2 linked regions of the Tamandua tetradactyla genome follow. The protein of the gene in region 2 interacts with the protein of the main gene of each other region in a pairwise test. Links are inferred from orthologs where the notes say so. Each region holds a gene or a part of one and is shown on either strand. Other genes may lie near its edges.

The links.
Region 1: the proteins of GSK3B (region 2) and BCL2L12 interact in a two-hybrid assay, tested with the Homo sapiens proteins (2 studies listed by BioGRID and IntAct). The link is inferred for Tamandua tetradactyla from reciprocal best matches to the Homo sapiens genes GSK3B and BCL2L12.

Annotation. Positions count from the first base shown.
Region 1 is NC_135342.1:11,487,103-11,497,312, forward strand, and holds BCL2L12 (bcl-2-like protein 12), read right to left. Parts: upstream 4,972-10,210; 5' UTR 4,867-4,971; exon of another isoform or gene 4,762-4,866; 5' UTR 4,701-4,761; coding exon 4,655-4,700; intron 4,338-4,654; exon of another isoform or gene 4,277-4,337; coding exon 4,162-4,276; intron 3,948-4,161; coding exon 3,805-3,947; intron 3,084-3,804; coding exon 2,997-3,083; intron 2,922-2,996; exon of another isoform or gene 2,905-2,921; coding exon 2,813-2,904; exon of another isoform or gene 2,397-2,812; intron 2,023-2,396; coding exon 1,741-2,022; intron 270-1,740; coding exon 219-269; 3' UTR 22-218; downstream 1-21. Other genes in the region: IRF3 (interferon regulatory factor 3), read left to right, coding at 5,948-6,112, 6,726-6,897, 6,984-7,054, 7,606-7,798, 7,891-8,271, 9,053-9,171, 9,636-9,821.
Region 2 is NC_135336.1:25,802,187-25,812,206, reverse strand, and holds the start of GSK3B (glycogen synthase kinase-3 beta), read right to left. Parts: upstream 4,980-10,020; 5' UTR 4,626-4,979; intron 4,620-4,625; exon of another isoform or gene 3,818-4,619; 5' UTR 3,518-3,817; coding exon 3,430-3,517; intron 1-3,429. UniProt on the Homo sapiens protein: Constitutively active protein kinase that acts as a negative regulator in the hormonal control of glucose homeostasis, Wnt signaling and regulation of transcription factors and microtubules, by phosphorylating and inactivating glycogen synthase (GYS1 or GYS2), EIF2B, CTNNB1/beta-catenin, APC, AXIN1, DPYSL2/CRMP2, JUN, NFATC1/NFATC, MAPT/TAU and MACF1.

The sequences.
Region 1 (10,210 bases), on a different chromosome or scaffold from region 2:
GGAGACACTTTAGTTCTCAAGTGAAAGAATAAACACTTAAAAAAATTTTTAATATAAAAAGTTTAGAAACATATATATATATTTTTTGGCAAAAATAGAAAAGGCGGCCCTCCCAGCCCCCATCCCCCCAGTCCTGAGTGCAGCGGGGACTCCTGGCACAGCACCTGAGAAGGGCGGGGACGTGAGGTCGAGTTCTGTAGAAGCTTCTGAGGATGATCTCAGTCCAGGGGTAAGTTCAAGTCCACAGGGGAGATGGCCAGGAGACCTTCCTGGAGGGGGAAAGAGCCCAGTGATCAGGGAAGGTGACCTCAGCACAGCGGTATCCACCCTGGCCCGGTGAGGTCAGAGACAGGGGATAGCAACGAACAAGTGGGGAAGGGGACATAGACCCGTGGGGGGGGGTGGGGGGGGACGGAGACCCAGAGGTCTGGGGTTTTAATGATGAAGTTTCCCTCAGTTGTAAGATGAGGGTAACAGAACCCCATAAAGTTGTCATGCAGATTAACTGGATGGCTCAGCTACTATCCTAAGTACCTGCCCCCCAACCGCCAATGCTCACCCCAGCTTACCCATTATCCTTATTCAGAAAAATTTTTTTATAAATAAATGCATTTTCGCTGAGTCCCAGACACTTATGTCCACTGTCTCCTAAACATCTCGCTTAGGTGGTCTAAAGGGCGCCCGAAGGCTAGGTGGACACCTCCAACCTCCCACCAGGGCTCCCCACCTCCTTGACCCCCCCTCTCCGAGTCCATTCCCCACGCGGCCACCAGAGGGCGCCGGTTCCCACAGTCAGCAACCCACGTCCCTGAGCCCTCCCGAGGCCCGCTCCTTGCCGAGGCCCACTAGGCTCTGCAGGATCTGGACACTCCTCACCCGCCCCCCGCCCAAATCCCCCCGCCCCCTGCCTCGCTCATCCTGCTCCAGCCACACTCGCCCGCTGCTGCCCGTTTGCGCGATGATGGCTCCATTTCATGAGCCCCGCACGGCCTCCTCTCACTGCTCCCACTGTGATTTACGGGGCGGGTCCGCGAAGGAAACCGTGAGCACTGGGCAGGCGGCAGACGGGCTCGGGGACAAGACTGTTGCTAAAGGCTGCCAAGGTCGCAAGGCCAGAACAATGGGCCCTAATCCAGCCCTTAGAGGGCGCTGGCAGCGGGCAGACAAGGGAGAAAATCTTGATCCTAAGTAGCTGCTGCAAACATGCAAAACAAGTGAGCTCTACACGAGCGTCTGTTAGAAGGTGTGAATGCGGTGGGATGAAGGAAAGCAGGAGAAGGAAGGGAGAGGGTGGAAGGGCAGGGAGATGGCTGAGAATCCCAGTGGAGGTGAGGGGGGCCTCCCTGAGTAAATTAGCAAAGAGGGGAGGCAGAGGAATAGCCGGGAAGGGCACTCGGACAGCCACAGGGGGACAGCCAGGCACCAAATGTCCCCGCGGAGCCAGCACCCTCCAAGTATCCCATCCTAATCCAACCACTCCCCCCACTTTACAGACGTGTAGAGGCGCCAGGAGGGACAGTGGTTAGTTTCGGGGCTCACGGGGGTCATCGGCATGGTAGAACCATTTAAGACAGGAAGAGCCTCTGCACCGATCCCCTGTGCCTGGTGCACAAGAGGAACGGAGGGCTTCAATGGGGGGGGGCACTTGCCAGTTGGAAGGGGAGCCTGAGAAGCCGCCCCCCCCCACACACACAGCTCAGTCGAGTGCTGCGAGGCCCGGAAGGCGCTGCGACGGCTCACCCAGCCCCCGTGGGCCTGGATCCAGGGCGCAAAGCTGTGCACGTGCTCCACGCTGAGTCCCGCCAGGGTGCCCCCCAGGTGGGCCACGCGCCGGCTCAGCTCCAGGGCCAGGGCCAGGCGCGCCAGGGGCTCCGGGGAGGGCGGAGGGGGTCCGGGGCACGGCTGCGAGGCATGTGCGGGGCCCGGGCCGCTCCCGCGGCTGGAAAAGAGCTCCACGAGGCGCGCGAAAGAGGCGGCGGAGAGGCGGGCCAGTTTGCGGCGCAGGGCGGGGTCCGAGGCCAGCTGTGGGGTGGGGACAGAAGGGGCAGAGCCCACCTCAGCCACGCCCCCACGCGGGGGCCTGAGGAGACCTAGAAATTGACTCTAAGCCCCGCCCCCACCTATAACAGCAACTCATTATAAGGCACGTTCTAGGGGCTCAGAGAAATTAGTTCCAGGGGCGGGGTCTAGAAACAGACGCTAAGCCATGCCTTAGGTTTCGACAGCCAATCAGGACCAACCTCTACAGCAGCGGAGTTCTAGACTGTTTATCTCTCAGCCACGCCCCCTTAGTCCTGCCGAGCCAATCAGAGCCCCGGAACCCTAACTAAGGCCTATAAGAACCTGGGCCTCTGCCATTCTATTGTCGTAAAGCCATGTATTCTGCCCAAGCTCTGGAGTTATCAGATTCGAGAGCTCGGCCGCAAGGCATGCCCCCTCCAGCAGTCCGTTCCACTCTAAGCCATGACCTCGCTGAAGTCAATCCGAGCCTCAGATTTTAAACAGTCTCGCTTCCCCCCACCTAAGGATACCTCCTCTCACATATCCAATTTAGCCCAATTTCCTGCCTAGATCTTGCCTCTGACGGCCACGCCCTTCACATACAGGTCACGCCCCTCTAAGCCAATGACAGCCAGTAGCCTAAAGTACTCCCCTGGCCATACTTCCTGTCACTCAACTCTTTCTCTAAGGTTTGTCCCACCCACTCCCCTTCTGACCAGCCAATGAAAATGCAGATCTAGCTTCTCGTCCCAATGCCTTGCCAACCGCCAATTCCCATCCTCCTTGAGAAACGGAAGAGATGGACCATCACCTTCTCGTTGATGACTTCAGCCTCCTCCTCCAGCAAGGCCACCAGCCTCCGCAGCAGGGCTTCTTTCTCCGTGAGTGGGGGACCCTGTAACTCTGGAGGCAAAAGAATTCTGCTGGGGGCGAACTGTGGCTACCCTGCTACCTCCCGACCTCCCGACCTCCCGCGCGGTGCCTCTGCACCTCACCTGGGCTAGGTGGGGATCTAAGTTGCTCTTGGACCAGCTGTTCCAACCGCTGGGCCACCAGGGCATAGAAGTCTGGAGTAGCCGGGCCTGGGGTGAAAGGAATCAGTGACTTCTACATTCTTTCCTTCTCTCAACCATGGGGCAATGATTTCCATTTTATAATGGGGGGGGGGGGACACCAAAGTACAGTGAACAAGCTTGAAAAGACCCCCACACCCTGGTTCTTTCTACTTCATGCCCCCAATCTGGACTTAGAATGTGAGGGCTAAACGGAACCTTGGAGATGTTCCCATCCAAGGTAGAAAAACTAATAGTGTTCTTTCTGCTCTTTCTGCCCTGGGTCTGGCCCACTTCGTGCATCACCCAGTGATCTCAGTGCTTATCTTCTCATTACTAGTCTTCCCAGACTCACATGAGAGGAAACCTGTTCCATTCTTGCTTAAGTCTAAACTAGTCTCCTAGTTTTGCCTTTGGAGAGTGGAGGTACAAGGAAGGGAAAGGATTTTTGGTTGAGCTTCCAACCCCAAAACCTGAGTGGCATGACTGAAAATCATTTCTCCTTCCCTACTGGGGGGCACTTGTGACTAGAAAAGTCTGGGGAGAGGGAGGCATGGATGGAAGGAGAGAGATGACAAAGAGAGAGGAACCAACAGGCCTCTCACAGCCAGCCCAAATAGAGATTTCCTGGGGCAGGGCAGGATGGTGAGGCTTACTGAGGTCTTGAACTAGTTCCTGATCTCATCTGTGCTTCAGGAATCAAGGCTCTTGGCCCTGCTGGTTTCACAGGTGATCTGGGGAAATCTCTTACCAGGCCCTGAACTGTAGCAGGGGCGGAGGGGCAGGGAGCAAGGCCGAGGGGAGTCAGGGGGAACGTCTCCTCGCCCTAGGGGGCAGGGAAGGCATCGGCGAAGGCGGCTCAGGAAGTCGGCTGGCTGCTCCTGGGTGGGACTCCTGGAGAGGAGAACCTCAGAGAGTGACCCCAGAGGCCTCCTGCAAGCAGTCCCTTCTTCCTCCCACTGAGGGCCTCTCCCTGTAGCCCCAGGGACGGGGGAAAAGAACCAGGTATGAAGGGAAGGAAGGAGACAGAGTGAGACCAGAAGCAAGAGTCAGAGAGGGACCCACCCCAAAGATGGACCCTTGAGGGGAGGAGGACAACCCTTCTTACCTGGGTGCAGCTGTAACGGGGGACCCAGACACCTCGCCCTGCTTAAGGAAGGCGGCTAGGACCCTCAGTGTGTCATCCCGGAGCCCCAACTCCTCTGAGCCTGCCATAGGGGCACCTGTGAGATGGGAAGCCAGGCACTGGAACGCAGGGTCCACATGGAAGAGGAGGCTTGGCACCTGAAGGAGGAAGGGTCAGAGGCGCGTCCTCCTGGGTCCCCATGGGAGGAGTGGGGACTGCGGTTCCTGGATCCTGGGAGAGGAAGGGGCTGGGGGCTGAACTTCTGGGTCTAAGGGAGGAGGAGACTGGGGAGACTGGACTCCTGAATTTGAGAGGGAGAAGGGGGCTGAGGAGGCACTGAGACAAGACTCCTGGATCCTGGAAGAGGAGGGTACCGGGGGCCTGGACTCCTGAGTCTCAGGGAGGAGGGGGCTGGGGGCTCCGACCCCTGGATTCCAAGCCAAGCTACCGAAGCCCAGCCAGGACGGAGAATTACCAATCCCTGAGGGCTTCGTGCCAAATTCCCCTCGGTCTGCGCTCATTTGCTGCGTAGCCTGCTGGGAGGTGTAGTTCCGTATCTGGCTGAGGCTGGAGTTTGGGGGCCTGGGACGTTTGGGTGTCGTTGAGGCGGGGATGCGCTGCCCGCTTCGGGGTCGCGACCCCCTCCTCTTCCCTGCTCGCCCTGGTGCTCGCCAGGGCTCGGCTCACCTGATCCCCGACCCCGCCTCCGCCGCCTCCCGCGCTGCAACTTCGGCAAACTTTCGAAGTTACCGTTCCCACGCCTGCGCACTGGGCGGGGTGGGCGGCACCAAGACAGGGCAGGGCCAGAGCGCCGGCTGCCCTCTTATTTGCATATGCATTCCCAGCATGCCTTGCCTGTGACCGGATTGCCTAAAAAGATCCGGAGGGTGTGCATATCATTATACCCAAATTATATAAAGGGTTTTATCCCAAGACGTCGGTAGCAAAGAAAGTCCCACGGCTCTGACGTCCGGCTGGAGGGAAGTCAGGTGCGCCGCTTGGAGTTGGAGAGCTATCCCGGAGCCCAGAAGACAGAGGCGAGTCCCGAGGTGAGTAACGCGGAAGAGCTGGGGAGGGTGTTGGGGAGGTCGCAGACTGAGGAGGCGCTAGAGGAAGGGGCGATGGGGAGAGTGTGCACTCTGGGGACAAGAAAGGGCCACGCTGGGAAACTGCGGGAGAAGCTGCAGGAGGCAGTGGCCTAGGTCATTAGGTGCAGGAGGAAGGGACAGGGACCCACGGCGCGGGACGGAGGGGAGGACAAGTTTCCTCTGCAAAAAGAGATAGTCTAGAAAGTGGGGGCGTGCCCTATCGCGCGGGGAGTATTGTGGCTGGAGATCTCTGGAAGCCGGGAGTTGAGGCTGGGATCTTCCGGGGGGAACTCGAGGGCGATCCGCGGAGGTAGCGTCTATACGGAAATAATCAGGGAGGGCTCCGGTGTGGAAGTGGGGGTGTGTGTGCATTGGGTCCTGGGGGAGGGTGGGGCGCAATGGGAGAAGCGTCTACACTGGAGAAGTTCAGGTGCACCGCAGAAATTGGGGACGGTTGGAGATGGGAGGGAGTCCTTGCTTAGTTGGGGGGCTACTTTGGGACGGGGGGAGAAGTTGCTCTCCGGCGGGCCAGCTAAGAGGGAGTCGACGCGGCTGAGGGATCTGCCCCCGAGGTACCGGGAAAGGGAGGTCTGGGTGCGGGGTGCCCGGGCCGCGTGGGCAGGTGGAGGCCTCTGGCGCCCAGGCACTGCCCGCCCCCACCCCCGCGCGCAGGCCGGACGATGAGCGCCCAAAAGCCGCGGATCCTGCCCTGGCTGCGTGTGCAGCTCGACCTGGGGCAGCTGGAGGGCGTGGCCTGGGTGGACGCGAGCCGCACGCGCTTCCGCATCCCCTGGAAGCACGGCCTGCGGCAGGATGCGCAGCAGGAGGACTTCCGCATCTTCCAGGTGCGTGGGCCCGGGCCCGGATAGCTCTGGCGGGTCCCGGCGGGCGGCCGATTCTGGGATGAAGAGGGGAGGCGGGCGTAGCCTTCCGGGCCGGGGTCTGGCGACGGGTATTGAACTTCCGGGGCTGGTGCGCCGGGCGGAGGTGGGCGGGCGTCTGGCTGGGTGGGAATGCCCTTTTCCCACCCCCCACCCCCACCGTGGAACCAGGAAGGGGGGGCTCCGTAGGCGGAGGAAATGCAATCTTGGGACGGGTCCAGGAGTCACGGGGACGAGGTTCAGAGTCCCTAATTGGGACCTCTTACCAGCAGACTAGGGCACCCGCGGGGCGGCTTGGGGAGTTGGAGGGCAGGAGGCGGGTTATTTCGGGGATGTCCTGGGGCCGCTGGTAGCGGGGCGCGGCTCCGGATAGGACCCGGAGGGCAGAGGGAGAGAGCCCAGGTCTTTGGGTGCTCAGGTGGGGACCTGAGGCACGGAGAACCCGGGAATTGAAGGGTGGGGACCTTGCTGAGTCAGGAAGCGCCAGTAAGAGGGCAGTGTTAGGATACCAAGCGGCTGAGTTAGCACCCCGGAGGGCGGGGTCTAAGTCACTCCCCCGTTCCCACCGTCCCTCCAGGCCTGGGCTGAAGCTAGCGGCGCTTACACTCCTGGGAAAGATAAGGAAGACCGGCCCACCTGGAAGAGGAACTTCCGGTCGGCTCTGAACCGAAAGGAGGATTTGCGTGTTGTGGAAGACCGGAGCAAGGACCCCCTCGACCCACACAAGATCTATGAGTTTGTCAACGCAGGTGTGTCAGGAGTAGGTCTTTGCGTGGAGGGCCGGGCTGGCAGGGGTCCCCTGCACCCCTACTCTGCTCACTGCCTTCTTCGACAGGAGTAGGGCACTCTCCTGAGCCGAATGCATCTCCAGACACCAATGGCAGAGACAGTATCCCAAATATCCAGGTAAGGGCATGCCCCAGCCCTGCACCCCTGGCCTTGCTGCCTGGTTCTTTCTCCTCTCTCTCCTCCTGCCTGTACAGGCCTTGCCACCCGCTCCGTGGTCCATTGTCCCCACCTGGACCCAGAGCTGACCCTGCCCCTCATCAGCTTGTAGCCTTCTGGGGGGATATTCAACCTTCACTAGATGTTCAAAGCCCTGACTCCCCTTTCCAGGTTTGAGAGCTTTCCTTGCTTTGCAGGGAGCCTTCAGCCTTTTATAAATTCAGTAGGTTCCTACACCTGACCTTGTGGACCTCTGGGCCAGGGAAAGCCCCTTCTGGCATGGAGCCAGATCAACGGGTTGAAATTAGCTACCCCTCCCACCCAAGGGGGTCCTGAGCCCATGGCATGGGTCGGAGCTTCTACCCTGCTGTCCATGCAGGGGTGGGCGAGGCTTAGATCTGGTCAGGTCTGGCCCCTCCGTGGTGGAGCCCCCATGGTGCTGAGCTCAAGGCCCCGTCCTTTTGAAGTCTCCAGAGAGGAATCTCGATGTCTCCTTCCCTTTCCCTCAACAGGAGGACATTTTGGAAGAGTTACTGGGTGATATGATCTTGGCCCCTCTGCCAGATGGGGGCCCCTTGGGCCTGGCTGTGGCCCCTGAGCCACCCCCTCAGCTCCCGCTGAGCCCCTGCTTGGACATCCACGCTCCCTGCCCAAACTCGGAAGCCCCTGAAAACCCACTGAGGGGGCTGTTGCTTACTGAGGACGGTGAGTGCCAGCTGCGGAGTGGGAGGGGCTGCGGCCAGAGCCGTGGACCCCCTTACACTCCTGCTCTCTCCATCTCTACTGCTTCCGTTCAGAGTGGGAGTTCGAGGTGACTGTGTTCTACCGGGGCCGCCAAACCTTGCAGGAGACAGTCTTCTGTCCGGGGGGCCTGCGGCTCGTGGGGTCAGAGCCTGAGGACCTGGCGCTTCCTGGGCAGCGGATAAGACTGCCAGACCCTGAGAGAGCCCTGACGGACCAGGGCACGGTGTGCTATGTGCGGCGCGTGCTGAGCTGCCTGGGAGGAGGCCTGGCCCTGTGGCGGGCAGGACAGCGGCTCTGGGCACGGAGGCTGGGGCAGTGCCATGTGTACTGGGCTATGGGTGAGGAGCTGCTCCCTGACAGCAAGCACCGGCCAGGGGGCGAGGTCCCGAAGAACATGGATGGAAGTGTGTTTGACTTAAGACCCTTTGTGGCAGGTGAGCGAGGCTGGGGCCCGGCAGCCGAGGCTACAGCCTCTGCCCCGATGCCCTGACTGCTGGGTAGCCCAGGGCAAAGGATGCTCCTGTCCCAAGCCTGTCTCTCCTCTCTGCCTGTCTACCTGGAGCTGGTAGGAGATGCAGGGCCCCATAGACAGAAGGTGCTCTGAGAATTAGCTGCCATTGCCATCACCACTATTCTCATTAATTTTTGTGGTTGAGAGATAAATCACCTAGAACGATAAATCCTTGAGGCTGGCGCTCCCTGGTGGAACTTACTGGCACAATAAGAAAGCACTGCCTCTGTGTTATCTGGGGTGGCAGCCACAAGCCAAAAGTGGCTGCTGAGCGCTTACGTGAGGAACTGAATATTTTATTTCATTCTGATTTGTAGCAGCTTAAATGGAAATAGCTGTATGGGGCTGATGGCTGTGTATCAAACATACTCACCTCCAGATCTTGGGAGTGAAGGAGCAGAATACACCAATCACCTTTTATTAGCAGAATCACTGAGCACCCTTGGGGGACCAATGGGCCCCCCCACCCCCCACTCCTCTGGGCCTCAGTTTCCCTCATCCTGAATGCTAAGGCTCAGGATGGGGATTGGGGAGAAGGCTCTTTCAGCCCTACCCCACTGAGAGGGAAGAGGGAGGAACACCCCAGTTTACGCCTGAGGAGTGATGGGCCTTTGGTCAGGGAAGAGGGGGGTGTCCGTGACTCAGGTTTGGGGGTGGGAAGAGAATCCTCTCCCAATCCCTGACTAGGCTCCTGGACCCTTCAGATCTGATCGCCTTCACTGAACAAAGCAGACGCTCGCCACGCTACACACTCTGGTTCTGCCTGGGGGAGTCGTGGCCCCAGGAGGACCAGCCATGGGTCAAGAAGCTTGTGATGGTCAAGGTACCTGCAGCCCTGGCCCCCTAGCTGAGTGGGTGGGTCTCACCAGGCAAAGGGTAACTCCAGGAACCAGCACTCCCAGAAGCCCCTCTGAGAGGCTACAACGTCTCCTAGTCTCTCAGCCACCAGTCCCTCATCCCCAGGTGGACTTCACCCGGCTTTGCCCCAGGAGCCTGCTTCGAGCTCTGTGGGCTGTGTGCAGGTTGTGGACTTCCAGTCCCAGCAGCCTCTCCAAGGAACTACAACTCCCAGGTGTCCTTCTGACAGGCAGCTCAGCCTGAGGGGCTTCTGGGAACTCCTCCCAAAGCCGCAGCACCTACCCTGACCCTGGATGTGAATTCAAGGGACACTGAAATTCCCAGCAGTCTGATGGTCCTCCTGGGCTGCGGTTGTAGTCTCCCATCTGCCCCAGGGCTGAGACTGGCTGGGACATGCCGTGCCCCGACTGTCTCCCCAACGCCCTGCAGGTCGTTCCCACGTGCCTCAGGGCCCTGCTGGACATCGCCCGGGTCGGGGGCGCCTCCTCCCTGGAGAACACTGTGGATCTGCATATTTCCAACAGCCAGCCGCTCTCGCTTACCTCCAGCCAGTTAAAGGTCTGCCTCCAGGACCTGGTTGAGAAGATGGATTGGCAGGCCATGGGGGAGGCCTGAGCCCTGTCCTACCCTCATCACTGCCAATAAAGCAGTTCCTGCTACCCCTTGTGTGTCTAGAGTTGGGTGTGCCCAGACCAGTCCCAACCCAAGTGGGGTCTCAGTTTATCTACCTGTGGGTGGTGGCCAGGCAGGCAGCTGGTGCTCATTGCCTTACCTGAGCCGGGGGTAGGTGGCAGTCACTCTTGCTTTACAGACCAAGACACGAGGCCTGGGGAGGGGCAGAGGCCACAGGGCAGGAAGTGTGAGCCAGGCGGGACCCAGGTCTGAGTGGGAGCAGGGGTGCGGCTCCACAGGGAGACCCCAAGGCAGAATCGGCCCCGGCCTGCCCTGCCTATGAGGGCTGGGATGATGGTCAACAAGCAGAGCACTTCCTGCCAACCTCCGCT
Region 2 (10,020 bases):
AAGGAACTATATAGATATTAGTATGTATTTAACAACATATAAATTCGGATGTGAATATACTGGTTTAAACTTGGGATAAATGCCTTAACTCAACAAAAAGGTGAAAACACAGTCATTATAAAATCTACTTTCAATTTCTGCTGGAGCTTTCACAACTCAAGTGAAAGCTAGCATTATTATTACTATTACTAATGCACGGTTTACCTAAGGATGAAAAAAAACACAAGTTTTAAACATGAATCAAAAATTAAAGGCTGTATCAAATATCTAAAATTATGTCACAGTTTAATCCAAAAAAGTTATAAGAGTTCCATGGATAAATTACCATGGAACTCTTATAACTAAGTTTCAAGTGTGTGACTTTTGACTATCTCCAGAATTTTTCTTTTCTTAGGATTTCAGTGGAAAGCAATTAAATAAAAACTTTTAGTTTACTGCTCCCAAATAAAAATTCACATTTTTTTTGGTGTAGAAAATTTAGAACTGTGCGATTAGTAGACTGGAAAGTTAAAATATCATTGTCAGTAACTGCTGTCTGCTGAAGTTCAAAGGAACCTATTATATATTAAATAACAAAAAGAGAGCTCCTCTAACTTCATCTCAGCACTTTCTCAACTTTCCCATCACAAACAATATATATACATAACACAGCATTCAATTCAACCAAACTAATAACATCAGAGTTTATTTTTAACTCCTGAGTCATTGACAAATAGCTCCCCTTCAATCCAATTCAAAGTCCTGAAGTTACTCATTCAAAATCTGTTCGTTTCGTCCCATTTTATTTTATTCCCCTCTTCATTCATAATATACCATAATATCTCCTCCCATTTCCCTAAAATTGCTCTAACGTCTCTCATCAAATCTGCTACCCAATTCATCTTCAAATATCTTGTTCAGCAGCCTACAGTGAATCCCAATCATCTTATAAAATTCAACCAACCTGTTATTAAGCCCCCACTGCCTTCCAGCAGCTAACCTTATCATATTTCTCAAATTCCATCTCTTCTTATTTTCGTTTTCAGGCCTCTTTAATTCAGATTTGCCATCTTGCTGCTGCCTCCCACACAAAATCACCACCTCTGTGCCTCTGCCCATTTCTTCCATTTAGAATACTAATACTTCTTGCTTCTCCATCAATTCAAGTTTTGCCTCCTTTAAAGCCTATCTTAAAACTCACCTTCTACAGAAAATGTTCCCTTTCCAACTCATCTGCTTCAACCCTTTTATTCTTTGTCCCTCAGAACAAAAGATTACACTTGTATTTTATCACCCTGCAGTCATCATGCAACTGTTTTCATATTTTATCCCATAAACCTGCCTTCACAACTAAATGATAGGCTCATGAGGCCAAGGACCTTAACTTCTTAGAAATCTTTGTTTTGAACAGGGTCCCTTAGAATTCTAGCATTTAAATAGGTTCTTAAGGACTCCCCTTTCTTCTAAAAATGCCCTTCAAGGTCTTCAAAAACATAATTAGCACTGAACTCCAACTTTTTAAATGTTAAATTAATCTAAATACAATTTAAAAACATTTTAATCTACACACTTTCTAAGAGTTACTCTACCCTCAGTCAACATCCGTATTATCAAGAACTAACAATCATTTTCAAAGAAAATCCTGGAAACAAAAGGAAAAGTCCAAAAACTTAGAATTAGCTATTCCGTTTTGTTCTCTGAAGCAGATTTAATGAATTAATTACCTAAATTGATCTCGAGTAGTTTTTAAACAATATTACCAAAATGTAAAACGTGTACAAGCACTCCAGTACCACAAGAGGCTCTTAAGAGGCTATTATAAGATTTGCTTCATCATAGTGGAAAATTAGCCCAGAATTTTAAACAATTCCTTTCAACTGACCCCATGAGGTGCTTAGAAAGCCTGTCTATTCCTTTAAAGATGCATAATCAGCTTGCCTCTTTACATACCCTGCATTCTCTACTAGCTAGTCTAGTCACGAGGGGGAAGGGGGATTAACTTAAAAAATTAATCTGCCATTCAGCTATAAACCTGGACTCAAAAAGCCACATGATTTGAAATCTTAAATTCAATTAAAAGTAATCATTGTACATGTAATAGCATATATATATATATATTTTTAAATCTCAGTTCCTCAGTTTTCTGTTCTAGGCAGCAAGAGCTTGTTTTTTATCTCATTATGCCCCTCTCTGGAGGAAAAAGGAGACAATACACACATTTCTGACAAATTCTGGAAGTATATTTAAATAAGCTGTCATTAAACACTTCATCAAATATACAATAAACATCTCCACAAACAGAGATACAATAGAACATCAGATACTTAGTATACCAACCACCTCACGAACATGGACTTTTCAGCACAAATCCAGGACAAGAGTACAGTCTGGCAACAGCTCCTATCAAGCACAGCCCAAATAACCCTATTATATCCAGGGCCACAGGCTTTTGCAAAGCCGTGACAAAAAGAGCTAAATCCATATTCTTATCATTAAATTCATATTCTTTCTAAATGTAACAGGAAGCCAAGATAAGAGTGTTTTAAATAGTCCTAATAGAGGACCCCTGTACTCTAGAACATTTAAAAGTAATGAATGCAAAGACACCCCCAAATTGAACTTAAATGACAATGAATCAGTGGCAATTAACATGTAACCTAGTATTTGGCAATATGACATTACAAACCTCAAAACTTATACCTACTTTCAAGTTACCTTTTGACTAAACAAATTAGTGTTAAACTGGTAATGTCAAAATGGAAGCATAAAAAAAAGTGCATTAAACCACTTATTCAATTTAAGACAATGCATGTAGAGATGGTACTGCTGCTGGATAGCTATGGGCTCCCAAACGCCAGTTCCAAGGAGAGGAGTCAATGCTCACTTCAAACATAAAGGTTGGTTCCTGATCAAGTTCACCCCCGGATTAAGAACAATACTTTGTATAGTCACACAAGCAAGAAAAACATGTTAGGGGGATGTGATATTTAGAGCATCTATTAAATATACGAAACTGTATTCAATATCCTCCCTCACTCAAAAAAAGTACACTCCGCAAGCGTACATGTCTTATGAAACAAGTCTTGTTTTCTTTATTCAAGAGAATAAGCAAGTAAACACTTTCATCACTATTTTAACACGAAAACACTCAAAACACTCGATAAAACTGACTACCAACAGCAAGAAAAACTATTAAAAAACAAAAGTTTCATATCAATTCATCCAAATACAAATCCTATTCTGCCAATTCAAGGTTAATGAGACAGGGGAAGGGGATACGAGAGGAGAAAAGAGGGAGCTGCCTCATCCTTTACTGAAGACTAATTTTGCCCTTTTTCGTAAACCAGATTGTTAAATCGGGAGGCCCAAAATTTTTAAACCCTAGTATTTCAAGGTTCCGTATTCTAAAGGTGAGGTAGCGAAGGGGGGTAAATTAAAATCAATACTCACTGCTAACTTTCATGCTGCCAAAAGCTGAAGGCTGCTGCACTGGCTTGCAGCTCTCCGCAAAGGAGGTGGTTCTGGGCCGCCCTGACATGATCCTGTCTCCCCGAATCACCTTCTTTTCCTTCCTTCCTCCTTTTCTTCCTTTTGCTTTGTATTGGGTTGTTAGGTTAATGATAAATGCAGCATTAAGTTCTCCCACAGGAAAAATAAAAAAAGACTTCGTCCTCTTGGCTTTTCACTCCTTTTGTATAGCTATAAAAAACGATCGATGTATTTCTCCTTCAAGACAGATCGGTACGGATATTTAACATATAGATGATTTGGGGATGGGGAAAAAAAATACAATTCTTTCCCCTCCCTTTCCTGGGGGAGGGGAAGAAAAGGAGGGATCCTAAAAAAAAAAAAAAAAACTCACGTGAAACGGGGACAAATACTTGATTGAAAATAAGCACTTAGAATATTATATATTCCTCGGGGATTTTTTTTCCGAGTCAATGAAGAAGGGAAGCGGCGGAAGGATCACGAGTCTCACGCTTGAAGAGAAGGGGGATGGGAAGGAGGGAAGGAGAGGGAGGGGGTGCCTCGGAGATGCGACGGGAAACGCTGCGGCTCCGGCGGCGGCGGCGGCGGGATCTGGCGGACTGACGGCAGGGGCCCCGCGAACTAGAGGGCGGCTGAGTCGCGAGTCAGTCAGAAGCGGGCGGTGGCAGCAGATCCTCTTCTCATTGCGCCAGGAGCAGCTGCAGGCGGCGGCTGGATCCAGCGGCCATGGCGGCGGCGGTAGCGGAGGCAGCTCCCTTCAGACCCCAGGCAGCGGCTCCTCGACTGCTCCCCATACGCCGGGGACATGGGAACCCGGCAACCGCTTCCGTCCCTCGGGGCCCCCTCCCCCGTCCACCGCACCAGCGCGGCCGCCCTCCCACCCCTAGCCTCTGCTCCGTGTCCGCTGAGGAAGTGTCGGCGCTTTGCCCTCAGCCCGAAGCCTTGTCAGCGGCTGCGGGGTCGGCTACTCCTCGCTTCCCTCCTTCCTTCCTTTGTCACTCGGCCCGGGCGGCGGCAGCAGCAGCACAAACCCGCATTCGCCTGGGTCGGGGCTGTTCTGTGTGAGGAGCGTCGTCTGCGCAGTCGCCTAGCTCTTCCTCACCCCCCTCCCCCTTCCTACTCGTCCTCCGCCTCCTTCCTCCCCCACCCAGCCTTACCCCGCCTAGAGCCCCACCGCCCGCGTAACAGGCGTCTGGGAATCGCCGACCGAGCTCGCACCCGCCCACTTCGGCTGAGAAGCCGAAGACCGAGTTGGGCCAATCACGACGCCGTTTGTTTGAGACTCCTCCGGAAAGAGCCGATCGGCTTGAGGAACCAATTAGAAAGTGTCGCTGGTAACCCACACCCAAAGAGCGAAGATTGTCGAAGATAGCCGAACGGGATAAAGGTGGATTCGCCTTGTTCTATGGCTGGACGGAAGAGAAAATCGACAATGCAGCAGTGACCAATCAGAGTCAGTCGCCCTCACGAAAAAGCACGAAGAGTTAAGGACGATGAACCTGGGAGTCGCTGGTGAAATTGCGCGGTTGGGCACCGCTGCCTCTTTATAATTGGCTGAAAAACTCGGCTGGGATTATACCTCGCTGGGTGATTGGTGAGGGGAAAGGAGGCTTCCGAGAATAGTCTAGCCAGTTACGACGTCTCCTCCCTCGCCGTGGTGCGGAGCAGAAGAAAGCGAAGAGAGGACGTCTATAAAATGCCTTCTCATTGGCTTGAAACTTTGGCGCTGGTGTGGGGGGCAAAAGGAAAGGGAGGGAGGGCGAAGCTCTTAGCGATAGCCAATCGAAACTCACTGCCGTCTTATCGCAAGACATAGCTGTAGTGTGATTGGTTTTCAGCCTGCGGCGGCAGTCCTAGTATCTGGGAGAACCTTAACTGGAGTAGTGGTGCCAGCCTGACGGAGGTTTATGCGACTGCTGTCAGGCCGTGCAGGTAGCTCGGACTTTTTGCACCCCCATCCGAAATGTCTGCGGTGGGTGGGACTGGGCTCCGAGCTTTTAAACGGAGGAATGTCGAGGAGTTCTTCCACCAAATAAAGGCTGTCTGCGGGGCACGGCCAAAACTGCGTGTCTGAGGCTTCCCTGAGCCCGGGATCGTGAGTCCGATGTACCTGCGTCTTCCCCAAAAGGGCTCAACGAGCCAAGGGAGCTTCCTTGGCAGGATGCGAGTTTTCACCGTGGCCGGGTGCTAAAGTGGAAACAAAGCTTCCAGAAAGGCAGCATCTCTGAGCGGTCGTGCCCCACCCAGCTGCTGGAGCCATAGCTAGAATGAGGCCGACTGCGCCTAGATGCGCGCGTCCAGTTTGGGCCTTCTGGAAACGCCTCTGAGAAATGAGCTCATGCTGGTTGCGCGCGCTCCTTGTGTAGACTGTGTGGACTGCAAAACCGGTCCCAAAAGTAGGTGAGAAATTCCGTCAGGCCGCATGTTCGGAAGCCTCTGAGGAAATGGAGAAAAAAATGAGCCCATAGTGGTTGAAGTCCTTTGGAACTGGAGTGATCTGTGAAAGTCCAGTTTGAGTAGATTTCACACATTCGTTCTTCTACACTAAAAAAAAAAAAAAAAAAGTGATTACTTTGGTCTGCCACAAGGCAGTGAAATATGGCTATGTCCGGATAGGCAAAGTAGAACGGAAAGTTATCCTGATTGTGAACCGTTGGTGCCTGTAATTTGTACCTGCAGAATCATCCCTTTCTGTTAAGATACTATCTCAGATAGTACCCGTATTTGATCAGATTACCTATTTCTTTGTAAAAGCTGATGAGGGACTTGGGACAGAATCAGGTGACCTTTGATGGGAGACAGGAAAGGTCTAGATAGAATTTGCTGACTCATATGTCTAGAGAAGCCAGACGAGTAAAGCAAATCAGTGAAGCTGGCTTGATGTAAGGTAATAGGGAATACAGAATGGCAAATTGAAGTGTCCACGCATCACCAGAGGAAGCAGATGCGTCTCACCTGAAGAAATGTATGTCCAGTGTCCTGAGATAATCGCTTCCTTTTTTACCCCAGGAGAACCCCTAAAACTGGGTTTTTGTGTGAACTCTCTGGATGTTTAAATGTTAGCAATCAGTATTTCGAAACACCTCGGGCCAAGCAAGAAACATCAGGGGTAACCAACAGTTAGTTCATCAGTTTGTAGTAGTAAAAACCCTTATTCTTTGTAATGAAGAGAGAACATGTAGTCAGTGGATGTCATGGCTATGCGAAACACCTCGGGCCAAGCAAGAAACATCAGGGGTAACCAACAGTTAGTTCATCAGTTTGTAGTAGTAAAAAACCTTATTCTTTGTAATGAAGAGAGAACATGTAGTCAGTGGATGTCATGGCTAGGGTAAAGAATGTTAAAAGCATAATCAGGGAATGGTGGCTTTGTCTGCTGAATGGTTCCTCTCCATGCCAAGTATCAGGAAAGACCTTTAGTGCTGCTACCTAAAATGCTATGAGTCGGGTGGGCCATGGTGGCTCAGCAGGTAAGAATGCTTGCCTGCCATGCCCAAGGACCTGGGTTTGATTCCCGGTGCCTGCCCATGTGGAAAAAAAAAAAAAAGAGTAAAATGCTATGAACCCTTTTAGCTTTGAATCTCACCTTCCTCTTCTGTACTCCGTATTCCAACTCCCAACTATACCATAGGAAACAAACGTTTATGTCATACAGATTAATAGCATACTTGCTCCTTTGTATTTAATAGTACAAAAGTTGTGTACATTGAGGTTATAATTACTTTATTGTTGCTGCCTTCAGTATTTTGAACTGATGTTGTATAAAAAAAAAAAATCAGACCAAGAGGGGTAGATTTTATAAGAAAGAAGAAAGTGTACTGCAGTCCAAGAATTAGGGCTTGAAGAAGTTTATGAGAAAATACAAAACTACTGCAACTAACATTCAGTAATTGCTTTTGTGAACTTGCAAACCTATTCTTACTTTCCTGCTTACTGTCAGCCACTTTATCAGTTTATATTAATTATAAATAAATTGTTTGCAATGTTCCATGCACTGTTCTTAAGTATTTTATAAATACCATCTCATTTAAATTTCATAATATTCTTTGAAGTACTATTTTCATCTCTGATCCTCAGATAAGGAAACTGAGGACAAGAAACGTTTAGAAAGCTAGAATAAAAAGTAGAACTGGGGTTCGGAGAGCCTATTCTTAGCGTCTCCTGTGTACTTCTGTCCCTACTTCTCCTGGTACATGTTGCTTTTTCTATAATCTAAACCTTATACTTTCTTACTGTGTATTTCTGGTTTTGAACAAACCTTATAGAATATCAGTTTGTTTTTCTCTAGGGCCCATCAAGTGGTGCCTTGCAGAGATTAGTGATTCTAAGCCGCAGTATCAGTAAACTAAACAACTGGAAAAAGATAAAGGGTGGAAAGCCGGTTGATAGAGAATGGTTGAGTAGGGTAGTGGGTAAGAGAGTCTACAAGATGGTAGTTATAAATTAAAATGCACAATGAACTGACTTTATAAATTCTGTAGTAATAAGCATTTGCATAGCATTTTGAGGTTTAGGAAGTATTTTAACATGTGTTATATCATTTTGTCCTCACAGCAAGCCAGTAAAGCTATTCTCTTTTTGCAAATAAGGAAGCTAAACACTAGAGTGAGTAAATGAGTTGCTCAGAATCACCTAGCTACATTTTAAATTGAAGTTTGAGGAAACTGTAGGTAGCTTTAATAATGAGAGTAGCAAATAGAATATGAGTTTTTTTTTTTAATGAACCTGGTGGCAGCCATTCCAAACATAAGTCTGTGAACAAGCTCTTCCTAGGAGCTCATTTACTTGACCAACATATATTAAATACCTACAGTGTTCCTGGGTGCTGCCCTTCAAATTTAATAAACAGATTCAATGCACTTCCAATCAAAATTCCAAAATATTTCTTTGCAGAGGTGGAAAAATCCAATTCTCAAATTCATAGGCAAGGTAAGAAATCCTGAATAGCCAAATATATCTTGAAAAAGAAGAAGAAAGGTAAGGACTCACACTTCACAATTTCAGAATTTATTACAAAGCTCCATTAATCAAAGCAGTGTGATAATGGCACAAAAAAACAGACATACAGACCGATGGAATAAAATTGAAAATTCAGAAGTAAACCCACATATCTAATGCTAATTGAATTTGGCAAGGTTGCCAAGTCCACTCAGTGGGGAAAAAAGATGGTCTCTTCAAAAATAGTGCTGGAAAAACTGGATTTCCACATACGAAAGAAAGAAAGCAGACCTTTACGTCATACCATGTGTTGGTTTGAAACTTGTATACCCCAGAAAAGCCATGTTCTTTAATCCTATTTAAATATTGCTGGGTGGGATTTTTTTTTAATTAAGTCATTTCCGTGGAGATGTGATCCACCCAACTGTGGGTGGGACCTTTTGATTAGTTGGTTTCCATGGAGATTTGTCTTCACCCATTCAAGATGGGGTTGAGTACTGGAGTCCTCTAAGAGGAAACAATTTTGGAAAAAGCGTCAGAGCCAACAAGAGACCCAGACATTTGAAGATGAAGAAAGAAAACACTCTCAGGGAGCTGTTTGAAACAAGAAGCCAAAGACCCCAGCAGATGCCAGTAACACACTTTCCCAGCAGACAGAGGTATTCTGGACACATCAGCCTTCTTGAGCCAAGGTATCTTTCCCTGGATGCCTTGGTTTGAACAGTTTTATAGCCTTAGAACTGTGAACTTGCAGCTTAATAAATTCCCTTTTTAAAAGCTGTCCCAGGGTGCGCAGGTGGTTCAGTGGTAGAATGCTTGTCTTCCATGTGGGAGACCCAGGTTCAATCCTGGACCATGCACCCAAAAAAAAAAAAAATCCATTCTGTTTCTGGTATGTTGTGTTCTGGCAGCACTGACAAACTAAAACACACCACATATAAAAATTAACTTAAAATGGATCAATGATGTAAATATAAGAGCTAAAACTATAAAATGCTTAGAAGAAAACATAAGGAGATATCTTCAGGACGTATATTAGACAATGGATTCTCAGACTTTCCAACCGAAGAAAAAATTAGCTGGATTTCATCAACAGTAAAAAAATATCTCCATCAGAGGGCATTTTTAAGAAAAGTGAAAAGGCTAGCTATAGAATGAGAAAAAATATTTGAAAAATATATATTTAATAAGGGTTTGATAACTAGAATATATAAAGAACTTCTACAACTCAACAACAGAAAGACAATCCAATTTTAAAATTACGAAAGATTTAAATAAGTATTTCTCAAAAATATATATAAAATGGCCACTATGACAATGAAAAGCTATTCAACATCATTAACCAATTAGGGAAATGTAAGTCAAAACCACAATGAAATACCATTTCACACCCATTAGAATGGCTAGTATTAAGAAAATGTTATTAAAAAAAAATGTGTTGATGAAACTGCAGAGAAATAGGAACATTCATATATTGTTGATAGAAATGTAAAACGGTGCAGCTGCTGTGGAAAGCAGTTTGTGGCTCCACATAAGGTTAAGTATAGAATTAATATGACCTGGCAATTCCACGTCTAGTATGTACCCAGAAGAATTAAAAGCAGGGATTTGAAT